Arabidopsis thaliana: one gene and its partners. The protein of the gene in region 1 interacts with the protein of each later gene in a pairwise test. Each region holds a gene or a part of one and is shown in the gene's direction. Other genes may lie near its edges. The genes, in order: WOX14, AT3G11280, AT3G60670 and BLH4.

Evidence for each region.
Region 2: the proteins of WOX14 (region 1) and AT3G11280 interact in a two-hybrid assay, tested with the Arabidopsis thaliana proteins (one large-scale study listed by BioGRID).
Region 3: the proteins of WOX14 (region 1) and AT3G60670 interact in a two-hybrid assay, tested with the Arabidopsis thaliana proteins (one large-scale study listed by BioGRID).
Region 4: the proteins of WOX14 (region 1) and BLH4 interact in a two-hybrid assay, tested with the Arabidopsis thaliana proteins (one large-scale study listed by BioGRID).

Annotation. Positions count from the first base shown.
Region 1 is NC_003070.9:7,180,894-7,185,248, forward strand, and holds WOX14 (WUSCHEL related homeobox 14), read left to right. Parts: upstream 1-1,664; coding exon 1,665-1,869; exon of another isoform or gene 1,870-2,436; coding exon of another isoform or gene 2,437-2,455; coding exon 2,456-2,842; coding exon of another isoform or gene 2,843-2,859; exon of another isoform or gene 2,860-2,929; coding exon 2,930-2,973; 3' UTR 2,974-3,163; downstream 3,164-4,355. Other genes in the region: HMGB3 (high mobility group B3), read left to right, coding at 97-176, 264-300; WOX10 (WUSCHEL related homeobox 10), read left to right, coding at 3,592-3,748, 3,840-4,235, 4,334-4,355. UniProt on the Arabidopsis thaliana protein: Acts redundantly with WOX4 downstream of the TDR/PXY receptor kinase to regulate procambial cell proliferation and differentiation in vascular tissue, independently of any role in vascular. Involved in the regulation of gibberellin (GA) biosynthesis pathway.
Region 2 is NC_003074.8:3,532,593-3,537,527, reverse strand, and holds AT3G11280 (Duplicated homeodomain-like superfamily protein), read left to right. Parts: upstream 1-2,533; 5' UTR 2,534-2,906; exon of another isoform or gene 2,907-3,132; 5' UTR 3,133-3,134; coding exon 3,135-3,538; intron 3,539-3,663; coding exon 3,664-4,051; 3' UTR 4,052-4,317; downstream 4,318-4,935. Other genes in the region: AT3G11290 (Myb/SANT-like DNA-binding domain protein), read left to right, coding at 233-517, 593-1,096, 1,169-1,762.
Region 3 is NC_003074.8:22,423,802-22,428,866, reverse strand, and holds AT3G60670 (PLATZ transcription factor family protein), read left to right. Parts: upstream 1-2,497; 5' UTR 2,498-2,675; intron 2,676-2,792; coding exon 2,793-2,969; intron 2,970-3,075; coding exon 3,076-3,150; intron 3,151-3,329; coding exon 3,330-3,470; intron 3,471-3,827; coding exon 3,828-4,172; 3' UTR 4,173-4,431; downstream 4,432-5,065.
Region 4 is NC_003071.7:10,106,733-10,115,092, reverse strand, and holds BLH4 (BEL1-like homeodomain 4), read left to right. Parts: upstream 1-2,087; 5' UTR 2,088-2,207; exon of another isoform or gene 2,208-2,314; 5' UTR 2,315-2,356; coding exon 2,357-3,313; intron 3,314-4,080; coding exon 4,081-4,472; intron 4,473-5,474; coding exon 5,475-5,691; intron 5,692-6,668; coding exon 6,669-7,142; 3' UTR 7,143-7,384; downstream 7,385-8,360. UniProt on the Arabidopsis thaliana protein: Transcription factor that establishes leaf shape by repressing growth in specific subdomains of the leaf. Negatively regulates knox homeobox gene KNAT1/BP expression.

The DNA of each region.
Region 1 (4,355 bases):
TTATGTTTATTCTAAACAATGATGATACAAGCAACTGGTAATTTGGTTAATGGGGGTGCTTGAATAATGGTGGTGTGTTGTGGTTTCAGGAGGAAGGCCCTAAGGAAGATGAGGAATCTGACAAGTCAGTTTCAGAGGTTAACGATGAGGATGATGCTGAGGATGGCAGTGAAGAGGTAAGTTATTTTACACCTCTGCAATCTAAATATCTGTAGTATGAATCAGTAAAGCTTTGTATTAACTCTGTTATACATGTGATGTAGGAGGAAGACGATGATTAAGAAGTTGAAGTTGTGGTAGCGTAATATAGAAGGCTGCAAGGAATCTCTCGGATGTTTTTATCTCCTCTCTTAAAATGTTAATTCGGGTGGTTAAAGTGGTTTTTTTTTTTTTTCTTTTTCTTTTTCTTACTGATGTTTCGTTTTAGTAAACTATTACCTATCTCCCACTGATTCTACGGGTAATGGAAAAAGTGAATGTAGAATGTTTAGATGGTGAAATGAGAGATTTGTAGCTCTATATAATGAATGATTTAGTTTTTAATTCCTCTACGTTTTAATGCTCTTTAGACTCTTTGTTTCTAGTTGATATGAGGATTTATACCCCTGAAAAAAATATTAGTGTAAACCATGTTTTTACTTAAATCATATTGGGGTTGTGAGTCCTATTGCATAATCACGCTCTTAATCAATGTGTTCCACAAAGAGTAAACCATGTTTTCACTTTTTATTTAGTTATTTGACTTTAGACACAGGTTGGTAAAATTGTTTTGAGGCTATACTTGAATTTTCCAAATTACCAACGCCATGATCATTTGGTTCTCTTTTCATCTTTTGAAAAAAAAAAATGGTTTGCATCAGCTTAATTAAGAGTTTCTCTTTGGATTGTATTACTTCGTTTGATTTAAGAAATAAGTAAAAAATTTGATCATTTTTGACAAAAGTGAAGATTTTAGTGAAAATCTGCGTATTAGCAGCAGAATAGTCTCACTTATGTTATAAATTTTTAGTCAACATCTTTATATCAAAGAACCTTTTTGGTCAAATTCGTACATTTTCTTCTTAATCAACTTAGAAAAAGAAAGAAAGCATGCTCTTCTTTTTCCATCAATAGTTTAATCATTAGTCATAAGTCACAACGATAATATTTTATATAATGCTGTGATTAAGCCTTGCTTCCGGCTTTACCTAACCACTATATACATAAAGTAAGATACACAGTTTGTGTTCCTCTACGGATGTAACAACAATACCTGGTTTTAATTAGGTTGTTTTTATATATTAGTGTGGTGTCTTATTATGTCATCAACACATAGGATTAAGATCTTCTTAGATACATATTTTGGATTAGCACATTTTTCTATTTCAAATGGTAGATATCTTGACCCGTAAAACTCGATTAAAATGTTGAAATTCTAACAAAAAATTGTGAATACCGTCGACCAAAATCTATCCTAGTGAAAGGCCATAGTTCTCCAATGTTTTCAATATGTAACCAATGTAATAAACCTGGTAACTGTAAAAATTAAATTGGTCCAATTGATCATTAAACAAAGACATCTTTCCAAAAAGTGTTTGATTTAACGGTAACAAATAAACTAAAGATCCCTTTATTCATAAACAAAAGAATATATATATCATTCACTTTCTCATTGTCTTGTTCATATGGTAAAAAAAAAAAAGGAAAAGGAGAAAAGCAAAGAAATAGAGGAGATGGATAGAGAGATCCAAAACGGTGCGTATAGTGGGAGAGTGATGACTGAGGAGCAGATGGAGATTCTCCGTAAGCAGATCGCCGTTTACGCCGTTATTTGTGACCAACTCGTCCTCCTCCACAACTCCCTCTCTTCTTACCATCCACTCTCATCAGGTACACTTCTCTCTGTTTTTGTTCCTGATTAACAACAATCACTTTTCTATGTATTTGATTTTTTTACAAGAGACCATTTGATGAGCTTCTTTGTATACGGTAGAAGAAGTGTGTAAGACGAAAGTGTTTAAACGCAGCGTTTTTTGCGATGCAAACGTTGTTTCCATTAATACACTTGACCCATTGAGACTTTAGTGTAAAAATGTGAAAATTGTGTTTGCGTTTGGTATACAACTAACGAAATCCAAGGCTTTTTTTTTCCCAGTGTTCGATGCATAACTTTGAATCAAATTTCATAATGTTTTAGACATTCGAAGACAGTTTACCTACCGCTTAGATATCGATTTATCATTGCTAAAGATATTTGTTAATATAGTTTATGATTTGCTTAGATCGAACAATTCAATATATTATTAATGTTTATTTTCTCTAGACGTAAGCTGATTTGAGGGTTATCATGTCGTGGCCGATTTTTAAGAAGCTTGAGTTATTAGTGCTTTGTGGTTTTGATAATACATATTTTGTACATGGAAGAAACTTAAGGGTCACGTCACTTATTTTTTTATAATGATTGAGTGTAAAAAAGGAGTGAGGCCAATGGTTGGCGGATACTTTGATCCGATGGGGGCATCGTCAAGTTCTCATAGGATATCGACTAGGCATCGGTGGACTCCGACTTCAACACAGCTTCAGATACTTGAGAGCATTTACGACGAAGGAAGTGGAACACCGAATCGACGGAGGATTAGAGAGATCGCGACGGAGCTGTCTGAACATGGACAGATCACGGAGACAAATGTCTACAATTGGTTTCAAAACCGGCGAGCTCGGTCCAAACGAAAGCAGCCTCAAACGACGACAGCTAATGGTCAGGCTGACGATGTGGCGGTGACAACGGAGGAAAGGAGGAGTTGTGGAGATTCAGGGGGATTAGAGTCTTATGAGCATATACTCTTCCCAAGTCCTGACTTAGGTAAAAAGATCATTTGAGTTTTTAAACATTTGGTTAGGTTTATTTTTTATTTTTGGTTTGAGTTTGCATTTTTTTTTGTGGTTTCAGGGATTGAGCATTTGTTGAGTATAGGGAAATTTATGGAGACTTAAAATTCGTATAGACTTCGATGAAGAAGATCTCTAATCTATTCTGTTTTCTTTTACTCTGTTTTCATAAAATAGAATTGTGTGTGTTTGTGTGTGACATTAACAACAAGTCTTCAATTTTATTATAATTTTGTGTTCCTCAACTTGATATATATGCCCACATCTTTTTCAGCATCAGAAAGAAAAGTGATGCCATCTTAAACTCGGTTGATATTTTGACCGGTAAATCTCAATTCAAATGACACTAAAGAGTAGAAGCAATTGACCATAATAACCGATCCTAGTCATGACCATAGCTTTTTTCATTGTTTTTAAATTTATTGTTATCACACAAAAAATCATATAAAATCGGATATTGGTTACATGACCACACAATTAGAATATATATCAATTATTTATCCAATTGAATCCCAAAATTACCTCAATTAACTAGTAATTGAAAAAGAAAAAAAATCAGACAATTGATCCTAGTTTGACATCTTTCCATAAATTGTTTAAAGTTAACGGTAACAAATAACTAAAGATTTCTCAAAAAGAAAAATACATAACACCTTCACTTCCACATTGTCTTCTTCATATGGTAAAAAGGAGAGAGGAGAAGGCAAAGTGGTGAAAGAGGAGATGGAGCAAGAGAGCCTAAACGGTAGGTATGGTAGTAGAGTAATGACGGATGAACAAATGGAGACTCTTCGTAAGCAAATCGCCATTTACGCCGTTCTTTGCGACCAGCTCGTCTTCCTCCACAACTCTCTCTCTTCTGTCCCTCTTCTTTCATCAGGTACGTACACTACTCCATAATTGTATTTGGAAGAAACTTAAGGGTCACGTAACTGAATTTGTATGGTAATGATTATGAGAAAATACAATAGGAATGAATCCAATGAGAGGTGAGTATTTTGATCCAATGGTGGCATCGTCAAGCGCTCATGGAATGTCGACTCGGCCTCGATGGACTCCTACGACAACGCAACTTCAGATTCTTGAGAACATTTACAAGGAAGGCAGTGGAACACCAAATCCGCGGAGGATTAAAGAGATCACGATGGAACTGTCTGAACATGGACAAATCATGGAGAAAAATGTATACCATTGGTTTCAAAACCGACGAGCTCGGTCCAAACGAAAGCAACCTCCGACAACGACAATTACCTCGAGTCAGGCGGATGATGCGGCCGTGACAACAACTGAGGAGAGAGGGAGGTGTGGAGATGATTCTGGAGGGTTTGAGTCTTATGAGCATATACTGTTCCCGAGTCCTGATTTAGGTAACCTCTTACTATATGATATTTATGTGTCTATGCATCGTATTTTGGTTTAATTGAGTCAGAGATGAAAAAATGTGGTGAACTTTTTGTGGTTTCAGGGATTGAGCATTTGTTGAATAG
Region 2 (4,935 bases), on another chromosome or scaffold:
TTTTCAGAATTTGCCTTGCAAAAATCTTTGCTTTATTTTATTTTTTTCTGGGTCTCTCGTCTTTTGTTGTCTCCTGGTTATGAATTTGTTAGAATCTATGCATTTGGAATTGATAAGTCCTGTAATGCTTCCAATCAAAAGCAATTGTGGGATGACAAATGTGTGTTTAGTCCATACATACTTCTCAATTATGTTGTTGTTGTTTACTTATCTATTCGTATAGTGAAGAGTTATGATGCCGAAAGCTGCGTGGGAACCAGAATACCACAGAGTATTTGTGGACTTATGCGTCGAGCAAAAGATGTTAGGGAATCAACCTGGAACGCAGCATATATTGAAACCTTTTCTACAAAGAACTGGCGCTAGGTTCACCAGAAACCAGCTTAAGAATCACTGGGATACAATGATCAAGCAGTGGAAGATTTGGTGTAGACTTGTTCAATGCAGTGATATGCAATGGGATCCTCAGACTAACACTTTTGGTGCTAATGATCAAGACTGGGCCAACTATTTACATGTACAATTTATCTTCTGTGTTGATTTTGGTTGTTTCTTGAGTCTATAATAAAACTCATGATTGGATTTGTGACAGGTGAATCCTGAGGCTGGGCAGTATCGGTTGAATCCTCCATCGTTCCTCGAGAAACTTGAGCTTATCTTTGAAGATAGTAACTTAGATGATGAAGGTACTTCAGGTAGCAAAAGGAAGCGAATAGCCAAGCATCGTGATGAAGATAATGATAATACTGGAGATGAAGAAGACACGCAAAGCGCTTCTAATTTCTCGAGTCCTCAGTCGAAAGGATACTGGTCACCGTCTTCACATGAGCTGTTTGTTGATTTGTTGTTCCAAGAGGCTTTAAAAGGAAACAGACCTGACTCACATTATCCAAAGGAAACTTGGAAAATGATCCTTGAGACTATCAATCAGAATACCGGTAAAAGCTTCACCAGACCGCAACTCAAGAATCATTGGGATTGCACCAGGAAATCGTGGAAGATCTGGTGTCAAGTGATTGGTGCTCCTGTCATGAAATGGGATGCAACTTCTCGAACATTTGGTGCTACTGATGAAGACTGGAAAAACTACTTGAAGGTATAAACGCTACTCGACTTTTTATATTAGTTGATTAAGTTTGCAGCTTAACATTGGTTCTTTGATTAACAGGAGAATCATAGAGCAGCACCATTCAGAAGGAAACAACTTCCTCACGCGGATAAACTAGCAACCATCTTCAAAGGACTTATAGAACCAGGAAAAGCCTATTTCCGTTCTTATCGCAGGAGAGTGCTTGATCATCATTCCGAATCACCACAGCTACATGACCCAACTCCATTATCAACACTTTACACAAACGAGCCAGTCTCAGGTAGTGAAGGTGGAGCTGATGAAGATGACAATGATGACGATGATGAGCAGCCTACTCCGCAGCACCGGAGATTTAACAGTGTTGGTTTTGCAGAGTCTCGGTTACAAGATGTTGAAATTGTAACTCCGGGATGCCACAGGTTAAAAACTGAGCTGATGAAGGAGAGTCCAGTGAGTGCATCGGTTAGGCAGTACGAGTATACCATTGGGGAATGCATTGAGTGTTTGGACTCCATGGAAGAGGTTGAGCAAGGTAGTGATCTTTACTTGTTTGCGTTGGATTTGTTTGTGAAGAAAGAGTACAGAGAGATTTTCTTGCTGTTGAAGAACTCAAGTTTGAGAATGTCTTGGCTGCTTAGACTTCGATCTGGTGGCCTTACCATTGCTGCCTAAGATCGTCATATTCTCCCAAACTTCTTCTGCTTATGTCTTATTATGCTAAACACTCTTGATTTATCTTTTGAACAGTGTGAGATGTTATATTATTAGGTTCCTTGAAAGATTTTATGACAGTCGAAATATTATAAGAGTTACTGGTTAACTTTTGTCGCAAGAAATTACTCTTGTCTCTATTGCAGATGAGAAATAAACTTCAAAGCATTCGTATCCTATCGTCTATGACTCTATGTAGCCTTCTCTTCTTCAAAATTAACTTAAGTTAAAAAACCTTGTACAGTTTGATTAGTTGATACAACCGATATACTTTTATTTGATTTTCTCTGTTTGCAGAAAGTAATTTAAAACTTATGTGAGCATCACAAGTAAAATGGAGAGATAGTGGGATTTAATGAGCTTTAGCTATTGAATCTGTCACACTTTCTAAAAATATTTTCCACCGACGCATAGATACTAAAACCAATCATCACTTAATTCCAGGTAAGAACTTAATCCTAAACAACCTCCTTAAGGAGACAAAATTAAGATATAAAAAGAGATAAATCGCGCCAGGTAGGGGTCGAACCTACGACCTTCTGCTTAGGAAACAGACGCTCTATCCACTGAGCTACAGGCGCTTTTGATTGTAATTATCAAAACATTATATTTATAACAAAACCATACAGTATGTCTCCGTGTGGACCAGAAAAAAGGCGATAGAACAAATTTGTCGTATTCCAAAGAATTAAATAATAGAATCAAATAGATCAATCAACTTTTTTTTTCTTTCTGAGAAAAATGAACCGCAAGAATCCGAGTGGAGTGGTGCCATTCGCTGTTCTCCAATCCAAATACGCCAAATCTTCCCAAAAATAAAGAAACCTTTCCTTTTCTTTCTCTTCACTCTGTTCCCATATCTACAGTGACTCTTCTCTCTCTGTATATTACTCTTCCTTCACTATCTCTCTCTCTTTACTGGGTCTTCTTCAGCTTCTGAGTCTTCTCCTCTCTCTCTATCTCTCAAGTGGGCTTTGCTTTGCTGTTTTTGTCTTCCTTCGACGACTCACTTTTGCAGATTCTCATAAATTCTTCAAAGCTTTGAGTCTTTTTTCAGATTCGAGGGTCGGTTTTATATATGCTTCAAATCTCTTACCCAAATCAGGTTCTTGATTCCCTCAGTATACGATTCTTCATTTTTCCTTCCCTTTTGTTTTTCTTCTTCTTTGATTCCTACTATATTATCATTAAACCTTATATATAAAAGCTTCCATTATTTCCTTATATCACAAATCTATCTTTTAAGCTTCCTCCACACATAGAGCAAGAAAATGGACTTTTTTGAGCTGTGTTTGTAGTTGAAACTTATTCTTCCCTTTTTTTGTTTTTAGGTATGGAGACTCTGCATCCATTCTCTCACCTACCTATCTCTGACCACCGGTTCGTTGTTCAAGAGATGGTGAGCTTACACAGCTCGAGTAGCGGTAGCTGGACTAAAGAAGAGAACAAGATGTTCGAACGAGCTCTTGCGATATACGCTGAAGACTCGCCTGATCGCTGGTTTAAAGTTGCTTCCATGATCCCTGGAAAGACTGTTTTTGATGTTATGAAGCAATATAGTAAGCTTGAAGAAGACGTTTTCGATATTGAAGCAGGACGTGTTCCCATTCCTGGTTATCCTGCAGCTTCTTCTCCCTTGGGGTTTGACACGGACATGTGTCGTAAACGGCCTAGTGGAGCTAGAGGATCTGATCAAGATCGAAAGAAAGGAGTCCCTTGGACAGAGGAAGAACACAGGTTAAGACACTCTTTCATCTCTACAGAATTCTTTCCATATAAGTCACTCTTCCTAGGTTCCTTGCAACGCAAGTCATCCCCTTTTTTCTTAGGGTTTTCAATGCTCTGTTTCTTGTTCCTTGCAGGAGATTCTTGTTAGGCCTTCTCAAGTACGGTAAAGGAGATTGGAGAAACATATCGAGAAACTTCGTGGTGTCAAAGACGCCAACGCAAGTGGCGAGCCACGCCCAAAAGTATTACCAGAGACAGCTCTCCGGAGCCAAGGACAAACGCAGGCCAAGTATCCATGACATCACAACCGGCAATCTTCTCAATGCCAATCTCAACCGTTCCTTTTCCGATCATAGAGATATTCTCCCTGATTTAGGGTTTATCGATAAGGATGATACGGAGGAGGGAGTAATATTTATGGGTCAGAATCTCTCTTCAGAAAATCTGTTTTCTCCATCACCAACTTCATTCGAAGCTGCCATTAACTTCGCCGGAGAAAATGTCTTCAGTGCCGGAGCTTAAGGCAACATAGAATCCCCAAACTCAGCGTTCTTAAGAATCTGAGTTTTGAAACTGTAATTAGAGAAATATAAGCAAAACCAAGTTTATTATATATGTATTGTGTGGTTTAAAAGTAAGAACTTGTTTTTACTCTGTATTTTTGTGTTTCTGTCTACTAAATACCTGTTATGTTAAAAAAAATCTGTGTTTTCTTTTCGATTAAATTATAGACTTATAGTTGTGAAAAAGAGTACTTGTGCTTTATGACAAGTTGATAACCCTAACAATTTACCACAATATATCTATTTTATGGTGTTAAATGCAAATTATAAAGATATACTGTAATAAAGACTTAAAGAGATTAAAAAAAAAAAAAAGACTCAAAGAGATCAAACACCACACAAAAATGAGAAATTTGTGAAACATGTTTTGGGTTAGATTTATTTAAGAAGATGGCTATAGTATAGTTTTAAATATTGAGTAAAGTTTTGGTGGAAGGTATGAAGAATTGATTTGAGTATAAAATAGAGGCTGAGTCTGCTTTCCACTTCTGACCAAAGAACCTCATTCTTCTCATCTATTACACCAACCTCCTGACTCATATATATATTAACGTATTTAGAATTACGTATAATGGTGTCATTTGTATAAAAAACATATATGAATGAAATGTTTATTTTATTTTTTAATCATTTGGTGCCCCAATCTAAACACTGCTCACATTTGAATTATGCAACTTGAAATAACTTTGATAAATTTATATTGAAACAACTTTGAAATATTATTTATCACAGTTCATATGCAAAGTTGGACCAAAGGCTACACTTAATCAAGCAATAGTTTTATCATAGTTCATATTCAAAGAAATCGGATTTAATAGATTTCCATATCTTATTCTATATGTA
Region 3 (5,065 bases), on another chromosome or scaffold:
AAAAAAAAGATTTGATCGACAATCCTGAACAAGCCTCACGGTCGAAAACGCCATAAGACTATCAAAGGTATCTAAAAGATTTAATAGTATCAAGTAACTTTCAAAATTTGCGTTGTCAGCTTAATAAAGACCAGTATCAGTGGTTTGTGTTCAAAACCGATGAGAATAACCAGACTATGTTCGAACTGTTACCATTAAATTTATCAAATATTAATGTCTAGATGTTTTTTTGTACAAACTACTGACAATTTAAACTTCAATGATATTTATTATCACTTTTTTACTTCACCTAATCTATTTAGATATTGTATAATTGCTAAATCATATTTACAATCACCCTGAATTTATTACATTAGATTTACTTTAGTGAAATATTCATATATATAATAATATATTTAAGTTAATTTATATATAGAACAAATTTTAATGTACCTTTTCATTACATTTGATATTTTATGACCATTTGTATCATGAAGTCTCTTATATTATTGGTTAAAAAAAATAAAAAATTAGATTATAGTTTTTGATATAAATAAATAAATCTTAAAATATGTAAGTATCCTATATTTTTTAAGAGAGGAAGTAGTGAATTAGTGATGCACCTTACATTTACCGTGTTCGAGTATATGCTGAAAGTGAAAGGTTTTTAAGTTAATAATTTGTGTAACTTTTTGTAATCTGATCCCGCTAAAAAAAAAATAACATTTTACATTGATACATTTGTTTATTATATCATTCTGTCTAAATTCCACAATGACATATAGAAATAGTTATCTTTTTTATTACATTGTGGGACATAAAATCAAATACAAAGACAAAATTGAGGGTCGTATGTCACTTTCCCTTGATTTCATTTGACCGTTTGGTTACCAACGATTTCGGTTGTTAGATCAAAGTTTGTTCTTCAACGACGTCGGTTTTGACTAAATCAATAACACCAATCGTGCTGTTGTGATCAGGACCACCCCAGATGTTTTAAATTCGATTAAGGAGAAATGTGGATCAACCATAACAAACAATCGTAAGTAGCCCAAATAAAGGATAAAAGCCCCAGCCCATGTAGATATCGTAAATTGACTAAAATACCCCTGATGATCAATAGTAACTAAAAGGCTAACGAGAAAAGGGGACAGCTGGATCGAAATCGAATCGGATCAGATCAAAAGAAAGCAGTGGCGTCGCATTCTTTCTCTGCCTGAGGCTGCTGCTGCTGCTCCTCCGTACCAACTCTGATCCACCTCTCTGTCCCTCTCTCTCTCTCTCTTTCTATACATACACTCATATTCTTTTTTTTTCATTTTTAAAAATTTGTATGCAAAAATTGAGAGATTATTTTACTTATAATAATAAAATGAAAATAATAATAGGTGGTCTAGTGAGGTACGTAGGTAAGTTTAGTAGTATAAGCAATAACTAATAAATCCCATCAACTTTGCACTGGTTTTCGAGAACAGTCTACAGCTGTGACAATGGGTCTTAGGGTTCTTGGAATTTGCTCTCTATTTCTTCCTCTATTCAATGTATCAATCATATACTTCATTTAGCTATTACAATTATGTTTTCTTAATTATTAATGAAGCTTATTTTTATTTTTTTGTGTGGATGGTAATGTTTTTAATTATAAAACGGTGCTTAGCTTTAATTTGGGTATTTATTCTCACATTTTTACTGAACGAAATACACGTAGTAGTAAAAAGAGAAATTTGTTTTTAGTAGGTTATATTGGGTTTACGAAATCGCCACTTAGAAATGATCAAATGAAAAGTAGACTGTTGGGGAGAGTCTTGTCATTTAGCACTTTTTCACAGTGAACCAGACAGACCTTCTAAACAAAAACAACACATACAATTATATCATGAAGAGACGATACAGGAAAATCAAATTGGTTGTATAAAGAAATCTCGTTTTACTTTCTTTTTAAAAACCCAACTCATATTGTTATAAGAAAGAGAGTTTTTTTTTTCTGTCTAAAGAAAGAGAGATTAAAACTCTGAATTTGGCTTTAAAATTTTGATATTGACGACTGTCACATACCAGAGGACTGAATTTTTTTTAATACTATTTCTGAAGAAAATGCTTTCTTAAATTTAATTATTAATTATAATATAAAGTTCATATTCACACGGTATATAAAAAAAAGGTTTTTTCATATGACAGTAAATATAAAATTTATTATTATTGCCAAGCTGAATTCTAATAAATATACACTTCTGTTTGTCAAGTTGGAACTGTATCTGTCAATGAAAAGGTACTTAATAATGATAAATAACCCAAAATTGTTACTTTTCAACACTCATAATCGAATTCTGCTATCTAGTAGTAGTCATTACGTAGTAAGTTAGTAACGTATCTAAGTGAACCACTTCTCTAACTAATGGATAAAACTAAATGAGAGTAAATAATCAACAAAACAAATTAATTAACGAATACTAAAGATTACAACACATCATTAAGGAGAGAAAGAAGAGAAGACTCATTTGAATTTAAGCTAGTGGTCACTCTCTCCAGGCGCCGCTCTCTCTTTCCTTCTTTCTTTCTCTCTCTCTCTCTGAGAATGGTCAGTCAATTTCACCACTGAGAGAGCTCAAAATCGCCTGACCTTGACCTTACTCTCTCTATCTCTTCCCCGAGAAAACCACCTCCCAGTGTAGATAACCAGAAGAAGATAAGCCAAGGTGGGTCTTCTCAATTTTACCTTTTTAGTCCAAAAAACATGAAATTGAAACATGGGTCTTGATTCATGTATGGGTTTCGTCTTTAAAGTTTACTGTTTTTTTTTTGGTATTTTGCAGATGGAATCTGGAGAATTTCCTGCATGGCTTGAGGTTCTGTTAAAAGACAAGTTTTTCAACGCTTGTTTGGATCATGAAGATGATAAGAAGAACGAGAAGAACATATTATGTATCGATTGTTGTCTTACCATCTGTCCTCACTGTCTCTCTTCTCATACCTCTCATCGTCTTCTTCAGGTCTCTCTCTTAAAATAAACAAACTTTTTTTTAATGGTTTCAAAAATCTTCATATTTGTCGGAAGAAAAATATGAACTTGGTGTGTTTCTGGGAATCTTTACGCAGATAAGAAGATACGTGTATAGAGACGTTTTGAGGGTTGAAGATGGTTCTAAGCTAATGGATTGCTCTTTAATTCAGGTATAACTCGGTTCTGGTTGTATTTAATTATCATGATAAAACTCTTAATCCGTTTATTGTATACATTAAAAGTCCAATTTTCATTGGTTCTTGTGCCCTAAAATTTTGACAGCTTTAATTAATACTCGTTGTCTTTTTCTTTTTCTTTGTGTGTGTGTATGTGTTGATGATGATTAAAGCCATACACAACGAACAGTTCAAAAGTTGTGTTCATCAATGAACGGCCTCAGTCTCGACAATTTCGTGGTTCCGGTAACATTTGTATCACCTGTGACCGGAGTCTCCAGTCTCCTTACCTCTTCTGCTGTCTCTCCTGCAAGGTCTGCTTTTTCTTGTTCTAATTACTTAAAAGGAACATCTTTTCTTCGTTAATTAAGTTTTCATTTAAAATTCTATCACATACCCAGTCCGATTTACCACTTTTCTTCATCTGGGTCGATCTTCTTTTTTAGAAATTTCATTTTTTGATGCACGAGTACACGAAATTGTCGTCAGATAAAAAAGGAACGTTTTTATTTGTTGTCTCATTTATTTTTCAAATTCTTTCAAAATACACAATTCAATTTCTTTCTGTTTTTGTTGTTTTTCTGCTTTTTAATATAAACACGCGTGTACGATCATATTTACACGTAATTGTCGCTGAAAACACAAACACATGGTTTGTTTGTTTTATGTAGATTAGTGACGTCATAATGAGACAAAGAGGACTCTCAGGGTTTCTCCGCGTCTGCAACGTTCTTGATTTAACCGACGAAGTCACGACAACGACACCGAGTTCCACTCTCGAGCCCACCGGGTCGAACCGAACATCTTCCGAGTCAAGTGGTAACGAAGGAGAAGACATGTTCTGGTGTCAGGCGCTCGCTTGCACCGCCACTACTGAAATCGTTAGGAAGAAAAGAAGCAGCTTGTCGACGACTTGCAGGAGAGTCACGGAGGTGGTTTCAACGACTAACACGGAAGCTCCGGTGAACTTTTTAAACCGTCGGAAGAATCCGCCGCAACGCGCCCCGCTTTATTAACTCGTGACGTTTGGCGAAATTTGGTTGGTCCAAGTGGTAAGTAGAATGAATACACGTAACTACTATAGTCTTATTTTATATTGTTAATCAATATCTCTAAATAACGAATCGAATTTTAGGTTTTTTTAAGAAATGGAATTAAGAATAGTTGAAAAGATCTCTCCTGGTTTTGTCTGACTCTGATATCTGTACCGCGTAATGAGAGAACTCTATGTTATTTAATTTAAATACTTTTCGTATAATGAAACATGTTTTCGTATAATCCGTTTTATTGCTTCCCATTTTTTATAATTTTTTAAAAATACCTCTTCCTCCACGAATAGCAATTTCAGTACTATTGAGACGGCTTGATTTAACATTTACAGCGGCGAAGTAAATTCTTAAAGGATTAATATTTGTTGTCATTAAATGCATTAGACCGACCATATCTTTCTTGGCTGAGTTAAATGATACGTTTTGAAAATAAAAGAAGTAAAATGGTAGTGATGGAGAACTCTATAAGTCTAAATGTGGTCTGCAGAAAATTTATGAATGTTTCTTTCTTGTATGTATATAAAATTTAGGTCACAACTCACAAAATAGTAAACATGTTAATTAATTATTTGATATCAGTTGGTTGGTAATAAATGTGAATTTTCTTTAAAAAATGCATGCGATAAGACTGTATAGTGTGTGTTTTTGTCTTTATGCATAACGTATTTTGTGGGTTTTGCACGAACGAAAGACGACTAAAATTGGTTATTGGTTATACGAAAAAAGAAGACAAAGAGATTGGAACAGACATTATGGATAAACGTGAAATTGTGAATGTTTCTGAGGCAAATAGTCTTTTTTTTTTCTCTCCTGTTTCCCTGGACCACTTTCTTCTTCCCATTTCGTAGTGCCTCTTGATT
Region 4 (8,360 bases), on another chromosome or scaffold:
GTGGGGAGAGGCAAAAATAGCACGAAGTTTCAATTATGAAGTAGCTGAATTGGTAGAAATAACCAAACAGTTTTGAATTTAGGAAATAGTCCAATTTCTTATAGGCAACAAAAATATTCTAAATTATCCGTTAGCAAAAAATAATATTTATTGAGAAATCACTTGCATTAATTTAGATTAAGTAAATAGTTCAAACAAAAATTTGCGTGCTACACAATTTTCGATTTGGTATCTGATTCTGGCATGATAGATTCCAACATAAGTCTCCATAGATATATATACAAGTGGGCTTTTCACTTTTGCTTTCAAGCCTTCCATTAGTATTTATCCTATTGTGGATTTATAACCTACATAGCATATATCCAACATGTCTCTCTAACTGTTTGTGGGATGGATACGCACGTCAAATCGATTTTGGAAATTTTTTTTTTTTTAATATTTAATATACCTAGGATAATGTAATGACTAATGATACGTTAATTTTAACAGAAAATAATTGTGTTTGTATCTATACAACGTCATTATAATGTATGGCTGAAATTAATTTTATAAGTATAGGTTTAGAAAAAGAGATAGCTGAAGGTGTAGTTGTGAAACTACAGAACCATAAAATTTCGTTTTTTCCATGCATTAGTTGTGTGTGGATGGTTTACATATTACAAACATCGATGATGGTGAAAGGCTATCGGCCGACCGTGAAATCGTGCAGAGGATTAATCTTTGGATTTTAGTAAATATTTTGTAAAGATGATTTGGAGGTTTAGTCATCAGGCATGTTGTCATAACATCAAGGTTTTTTTTAAAACAATGGTATTTTTAAAAATATTATTGTTAAAGGGATATTTTTTAAAATGGGTAATCTAAAAAGCAATTTTAAAAAAATTTCAATAATCTTTGAGTGATAAAGTTTTATTAATTAATATAGATATAAAATAATATTTTGAAAGTTGAGAGTATCGTTTAACACAGAATGAGATATTTCCTAATCAATTAACACAAAATGAAACAACCTCGATTTGCAGCTAGATTTTTGCTTTATCATATCAAGCTTGAGGTAATCTCTAATGCTTTTTTTTTTACGATTTCGTGATGATAGATGTAATATAGCGGTTTCTGCAAAGAAATTTAAAATAATTGATTTAGCCACATATGTTACCAAAATGTAATTATAATTTGATCGATTTTTATGTATTTCATTTGTTTCATATTATAATTTGATCGATTTTTGATATATCGTATGATTAGTTAATTGAATAAATGTACATACATGAAAAAGTAGTCTAAAATGACATAGGTCTCCCCTAAACAACAAATACACACAATATTAAAGAATAAAATTAGAGAGCATCATAGGAATATTATATAAGTATTTAATTTGTCAAATAAGAATATTTTATTTTATTTTATTTTGGCTCGAAATAAGAATATATTGAAGCACAAAAATATGTGGAAGTATTTATGGTGGTGGTTTGGTTCATTGAGATATGACCTTTGGACTCACCTTATCTTCCTATTCTTTTTAGTTTGCTTTCATAAATTAGTTTCCAAATTAACTCCTTTAAAATGTTGATATCAGCCGACATTTCCGTGATAAAAAGTTTTTTTTTCTCTTATAAATAAATAATAACGTTGACAAAAAAAAAAGACAAGAAAAAAAAACAAGGATAATTTCGTAATTTCAGGATGTGTATAGTTTTTTTTTGTCTTTCCTCCTCATCGTTATTGATATGAAGAAACCTTTGCCGATTAAAATTAAAAAGAAGATGTTTATAAAAATACTTCATTATAAAAAAATGATAAATCAAGATTTTAATAACAAAAAAATATTAAAGAAGATTGGTGGGTTAAAAAGGGAGGCGATGAAGAAAGAACAGCGACCTCTTCTTCTCTCTTCCCTCTCTCTTCCTTTCTCTTTGGGAGAGATTTTTTTATAAGTTTTTGGTTTTGCAGAATTTGCTGAATAAAAACTCTCACTAACAGAGAAATATAAAATAAAAAGAGTACTCAAGAAAAAGAAAGCTAGAGAGAGAGGTATAGAAGAAAACGATAGCTATAAGCTCATCATCAATCATTTCTTTAATTCTCTGCAACTCCAAGGTACTTCCTCTCTCTCTCTCTCTCTCTCTCTATACCATATATGTAGATGATGACCGAAGCTGAAAGTGAGAACCTTAAAAGAGTTACAAGAAAGAGATTGGAGAAAAACTGTATAATACCTAGTTGACTCCTCTCTCTCTCTCTCTCTTTCTTTTTCTTGTATTTTTTTTTTGTATGTGTTATATAAGATTCTCTGTGTATGTCTGAATCCTTACAGGATCCAAGAGCTTTGGAAAAAAGATATAATGAATAACAAGATATGGGTTTAGCTACTACAACTTCTTCTATGTCACAAGATTATCATCATCACCAAGGAATCTTTTCCTTCTCTAATGGATTCCACCGATCATCATCAACCACTCATCAAGAGGAAGTAGATGAATCCGCCGTCGTCTCCGGTGCTCAAATTCCGGTTTATGAAACCGCCGGAATGTTGTCTGAAATGTTTGCTTACCCTGGCGGAGGTGGCGGCGGTTCCGGTGGAGAGATTCTTGATCAGTCTACTAAACAGTTGCTAGAGCAACAAAACCGTCACAACAACAACAATAACTCAACTCTTCATATGTTATTACCAAATCATCATCAAGGTTTTGCTTTCACCGACGAAAACACTATGCAGCCGCAGCAACAACAACACTTTACATGGCCATCTTCCTCCTCCGATCATCATCAAAACCGAGATATGATCGGAACCGTCCACGTGGAAGGAGGAAAGGGTTTGTCTTTATCTCTCTCATCTTCATTAGCCGCAGCTAAAGCCGAGGAATATAGAAGCATTTATTGTGCAGCCGTTGATGGAACTTCTTCTTCTTCTAACGCATCCGCTCATCATCATCAATTCAATCAGTTCAAGAATCTTCTTCTTGAGAATTCTTCTTCTCAACATCATCACCATCAAGTTGTTGGACATTTTGGTTCATCATCATCATCTCCCATGGCGGCTTCTTCATCCATTGGAGGGATCTACACGTTGAGGAATTCGAAATATACGAAACCGGCTCAAGAGTTGTTGGAAGAGTTTTGTAGTGTTGGAAGAGGACATTTCAAGAAGAACAAACTTAGTAGGAACAACTCAAACCCTAATACTACCGGTGGAGGAGGAGGCGGAGGGTCCTCGTCATCGGCCGGAACAGCTAATGATAGTCCTCCTTTGTCTCCGGCTGATCGGATTGAACATCAAAGAAGAAAAGTCAAGCTACTATCTATGCTTGAAGAGGTAACGTTTTCACTCAATATTTTTTCTCTAACCAAACTAATTAATTTTCTATCAAACTTTTAATGAACCGTTCTAATGATTGAATTGATCAAACAACCAATTTCATATCAATCGCTACAAAATTTTATTTTTCTTCGTGATTTTTTTCTTCTTATATAATTAATTCTAAATCGACCAATATTTTCATAAACTCTATATATGTTATTTTCTTAAAAAAATAAATGTATAGAGAATGACCGACTGGTACAAGAGCACGACACATGCTCTAGTTGGTAAAGCCTGATTACGCAATCCTACTATCACTTATATAATTTTTCTAACTAATATCATTATATGGTGTTATATGGTCTAATTTGATATATTAATGCATATTTTGTGTCACGCGTTTGGTGGCATCGCTTAATCAAATTTAACATAAGAAATTAATATATGATTGATTAAGTGATTTAGTCTTCACAACCATAAATTTTAAATTAGAGTTTCCTTCTCCATATAAGCTAGCCACCTTCACTACGTAACCAAAACTAGTCCTTGAAGTTACTTCATTATTTATCTTACAATTTATTTTGTAGTTGACATTATCTTCTTTCAAGAATTTAGTATATGTTCCAAGATAGCATAAATTGTTAGCAAGAGAAGATAACACATTGAAGTATCTAAACGAACTAATCACTTGAGGTTTATATTTTATCTTAGAAATTGAGCTAATAAAAAAAAAACAAGAACTCATCTATGTATAGTTCATTTATTTAAAATTTAATTTGTAGGTGGACCGACGGTACAACCACTACTGCGAACAAATGCAAATGGTAGTGAACTCATTCGACCAAGTAATGGGTTACGGCGCGGCGGTTCCGTACACGACATTAGCTCAAAAGGCAATGTCTAGGCATTTCCGGTGTTTGAAAGACGCGGTAGCGGTTCAGCTTAAACGCAGCTGTGAGCTTCTAGGGGATAAAGAGGCGGCAGGGGCTGCATCCTCGGGGTTAACCAAAGGGGAAACGCCGCGATTGCGTTTGCTAGAGCAGAGTTTGCGTCAGCAACGAGCGTTTCATCATATGGGTATGATGGAGCAAGAGGCATGGAGACCGCAACGTGGTTTGCCTGAACGCTCCGTTAATATCCTTAGAGCTTGGCTATTCGAGCATTTTCTTAATCCGTAAGTCCATTTTCTAATCCCTTAATAATACTTACCTACTCTTATTCTTCGATAATACTAATCTTCTTGAATGTTGACTATACATTATAAAATGTAGACTACCATAATGCATTGATACCAAGACTTTAACTAATATACGTTTATTAAACTTAAGTTATGAAAGTGACAAAAAAATTTTTTTTTTTATAACTCTTTTGTTATGCGGGAAGATATATTTCTATTTCAATCAAAATTAAAAGCTGCTGGCTTTTTTAGAAAACCAAAATAATTTTTGTAAAATGAAGTTCCGTTTCTTCACTGAGTTTGATTATTTTATGTTTATTACTACTAATAAAAATTTAAATATCAAATATTTTTTCCTTTTCATACCACCCATAAGAATGGTCAGCTAAGAGTACTCCAAAATAACAAGGGTAACAATTCATTGACTAGGAGACTTTCATGAAAACTGTATGTTTATATTTATATTAATGTAGGTTATATTGCATGGCAAATTAAAGGGTTTAAATAATTAATGCAACAAAAGAAGTTTGCAGAGTGAGATCGCAAACTTTTATGCTTTGGGATCATAATAGCATCCTAAGGGTTTCTCTGTCTCTGCCTAACCTTTCCTTTATAGTTTTTTTTTCTTTAATTTGCTTTAATTCATTCCACATACTATTATCAAAAGAAGTAACAATGCCATTAACATAACTACAAAAAAATAAGTCTCAGATTTGTCAGTGGTACAGTTTCATTGGTATATTGTCCCTTAAGAAAGACAGAAATCAAAAAGAGGAAAAAAAAAATCTAAAAGCTGAAAAAAGCAATTTCTTCTGTCATTATTCATCAGTACTTTCTCTATTTAATGTCTGCAGAATTTTACTATTTTGTTGTTAGTGAAGTAAAGAAGAGAAGAGTTGTACAGATAAATATTTTGCTTTATGATGAAAAATAAGTTAAGATACAAAAATAAAATAAAATGCTTCTATTCTGAAATCAGCTTTTTCTTTTGTCCCTTAGATTCTCACGCCCTTGTAAGGAGAAAGTTTGTACCTTTTCTTGCATCTACTTGATTGTGTTTTTCCTCTCTATCTATATTCAAAAAAAGAGAAAAGAAAAAAATTATTGGTTTAGGGTTCTAAAGATTGTGAAGTCATTTTCTGGTCTCTTTCTCAGGTACCCAAGCGATGCTGATAAGCACCTCTTAGCACGACAGACTGGTTTATCCAGAAATCAGGTCAGCCTTTATCTATATAGATACATACATCAATATTTTTTTAATATAATATGTTTTCATACTTATCATACAAGAACCCTTTTAATTACTCATTTACATATATGTACTTAACTCACAATTTACCATATATATCAATCATTTCATCATGCAAAATCTGACATGAGTGGCTTCATGTCTATTCTCTTGCATGGATTTTCAATATCACGAATCATTTGTTTTTCTTGGGGTTCGTTTTCTTCATTAAATACATTATCTACACTTACACACACAAGGATATATAAAACATAGGAGAGAGAGATGTAAGTATTTCTCAAGTACATGAAAGTTTGAAGCTTTCATTTCAATGTTAACTAGCAGACCTCTAAGTCTTGTACACATTAATTATTTACATCACAAGTAGTTTATTACACTTGGCTTCAAATATCCATTAGTATATTTCAACCTTCAAATTGTTGTTTTAACATTATTATGTTTCATGTGTTCAAATAAAAAAACATTATTATGTTTCAAATTTTTAATTTAGAAATTTCATCTAAGCCTTTCAGTAAATACATAAGTTAACATCAAATCAAAATTACTTGAAACATGTCAAAAGTTATCTTGTTCTTGTAAGAATATAATGAAAAATTTAATATATATCTTCTTTTTAATAGATGTCTCAAAGGAAACACATGTATCATAATTTTTACTCCTTTCCTATCATTTTAACTTAAGGTTTTAGCTATCCTATTTTTTTTGTTTCATTTGTTTAAACTAATTTTCTTCACAGTAAATGACTTATTATTTTAACTTTACTTAATATAAAACAAATGAAGTATATACAAAAACAATCAAAACCATATTTAATGTAAAAAGGAGTATTTCACATTTCATTGAAAAGTTTTTTTTTCCTTCTAAAAGTTAAGTTTCTTTTAATATTATAAACTTGTTAAGAGTAAATTGTGATTAATATTAGTTCATATGTCTCGTTTTTTCAGGTGTCAAATTGGTTCATAAATGCTAGGGTTCGCCTATGGAAACCAATGGTGGAAGAGATGTATCAACAAGAAGCAAAAGAAAGAGAAGAAGCAGAAGAAGAAAATGAAAATCAACAACAACAAAGAAGACAGCAACAAACAAACAACAACGACACGAAACCCAACAACAATGAAAACAACTTCACTGTCATAACCGCACAAACTCCAACGACGATGACATCGACACATCACGAAAACGACTCTTCATTCCTCTCTTCCGTCGCCGCCGCTTCTCACGGCGGTTCAGACGCGTTCACCGTCGCCACGTGTCAGCAAGACGTCAGTGACTTCCACGTCGACGGAGATGGTGTGAACGTCATAAGATTCGGGACCAAACAGACTGGTGACGTGTCTCTTACGCTTGGTCTACGCCACTCTGGCAATATTCCTGATAAGAACACTTCTTTCTCCGTTAGAGACTTTGGAGATTTTTAGTCTTCTTTGTTTCTCAATTTATTCATCAAAATTTATTATAGTGAATTTTATTTTTTTGGTTTATCGATATATGTTTTTAGTTTCTTCACATACTTTTAAAATTTCCTTTCTTCTTTAGTTTTTTTTTCTGTCTTTTCTGTCGTAAGAAGAAGAGAGATATACATATATCAAGTGAGATCTAGCTACCAAAGTTCCATATATAATTATGCACATATTTTTATTTTATTCATGAAACTTATATCCTTACATTTTTGTATAGTTTTGTTCATACTAATTTTTTGTTCATATTAATACCCCTGCCAAATTACTCTAAATTTTGTTTTAGATTATGATTATGTACATATATTTTCTGGAAACTAAATTTCGTGTAGCATTTATTGGATTCTTCCATTTGATTTTTGCTAATAAGCGACAACAGTCTTTTAGGAAAGCGCCAATAAGTCACATCACTTTCCTTGTAATATCAAATTAATCATCTCAACTAATCCCTACTTACTACAACTATGTGCTCCTTAATTTAGTAATAGCAACAAAATATACTTGGTACGTACCCGATCGACTTATTAACAATTGTATTATCTTCAGTTTATAGTAAAATAGTTAAGAAAAACGTGACATATTTGTTTAAAAAGAAAACAAATAATCTTTTGAGTTAGGTTCTTTAGTTTTTTTCTCTGAGAAACAATTATCCAAAACTCCAAAGGTTTGGTTACATGTCATATTGGGGGATATGTCAATCGAGACGGAGACGTTTTAGTTCTACAAAGGGACATTAAGCTCATTGCCATGGTGCTACTCATTACTTTTTGTAATAGGACTCATTACTTGAATTGTTTACAAAGGGTTTTCTTAAAAGTCACTTCAATTATTTTAGTAAACAATAATATCTACGTTTCACCTAATTCCTTACAACTAATAAATTTCTATTCGAAGTATTTTATATACTCTATTAGGAGAGTATGATGACACTATAATTGGCAATATAAATCTTACATGATTTGACATTTCATGTTTTAATAAATGTCTTTGGTGAAACCAATAACCCGGAACAGTATTTAGGGAGCAACATACTTTCAAGTTAATTTATCGATCCACCGGTCCATAAAGGTAATAAAAGTTATAAACAAGACTATAAATTAAACTCAAACAAAATGATTTTGTACAACAATTTGTTCGTCTTAAACTATTTCCGTCTTATATTTTTATGACTAAATAAAG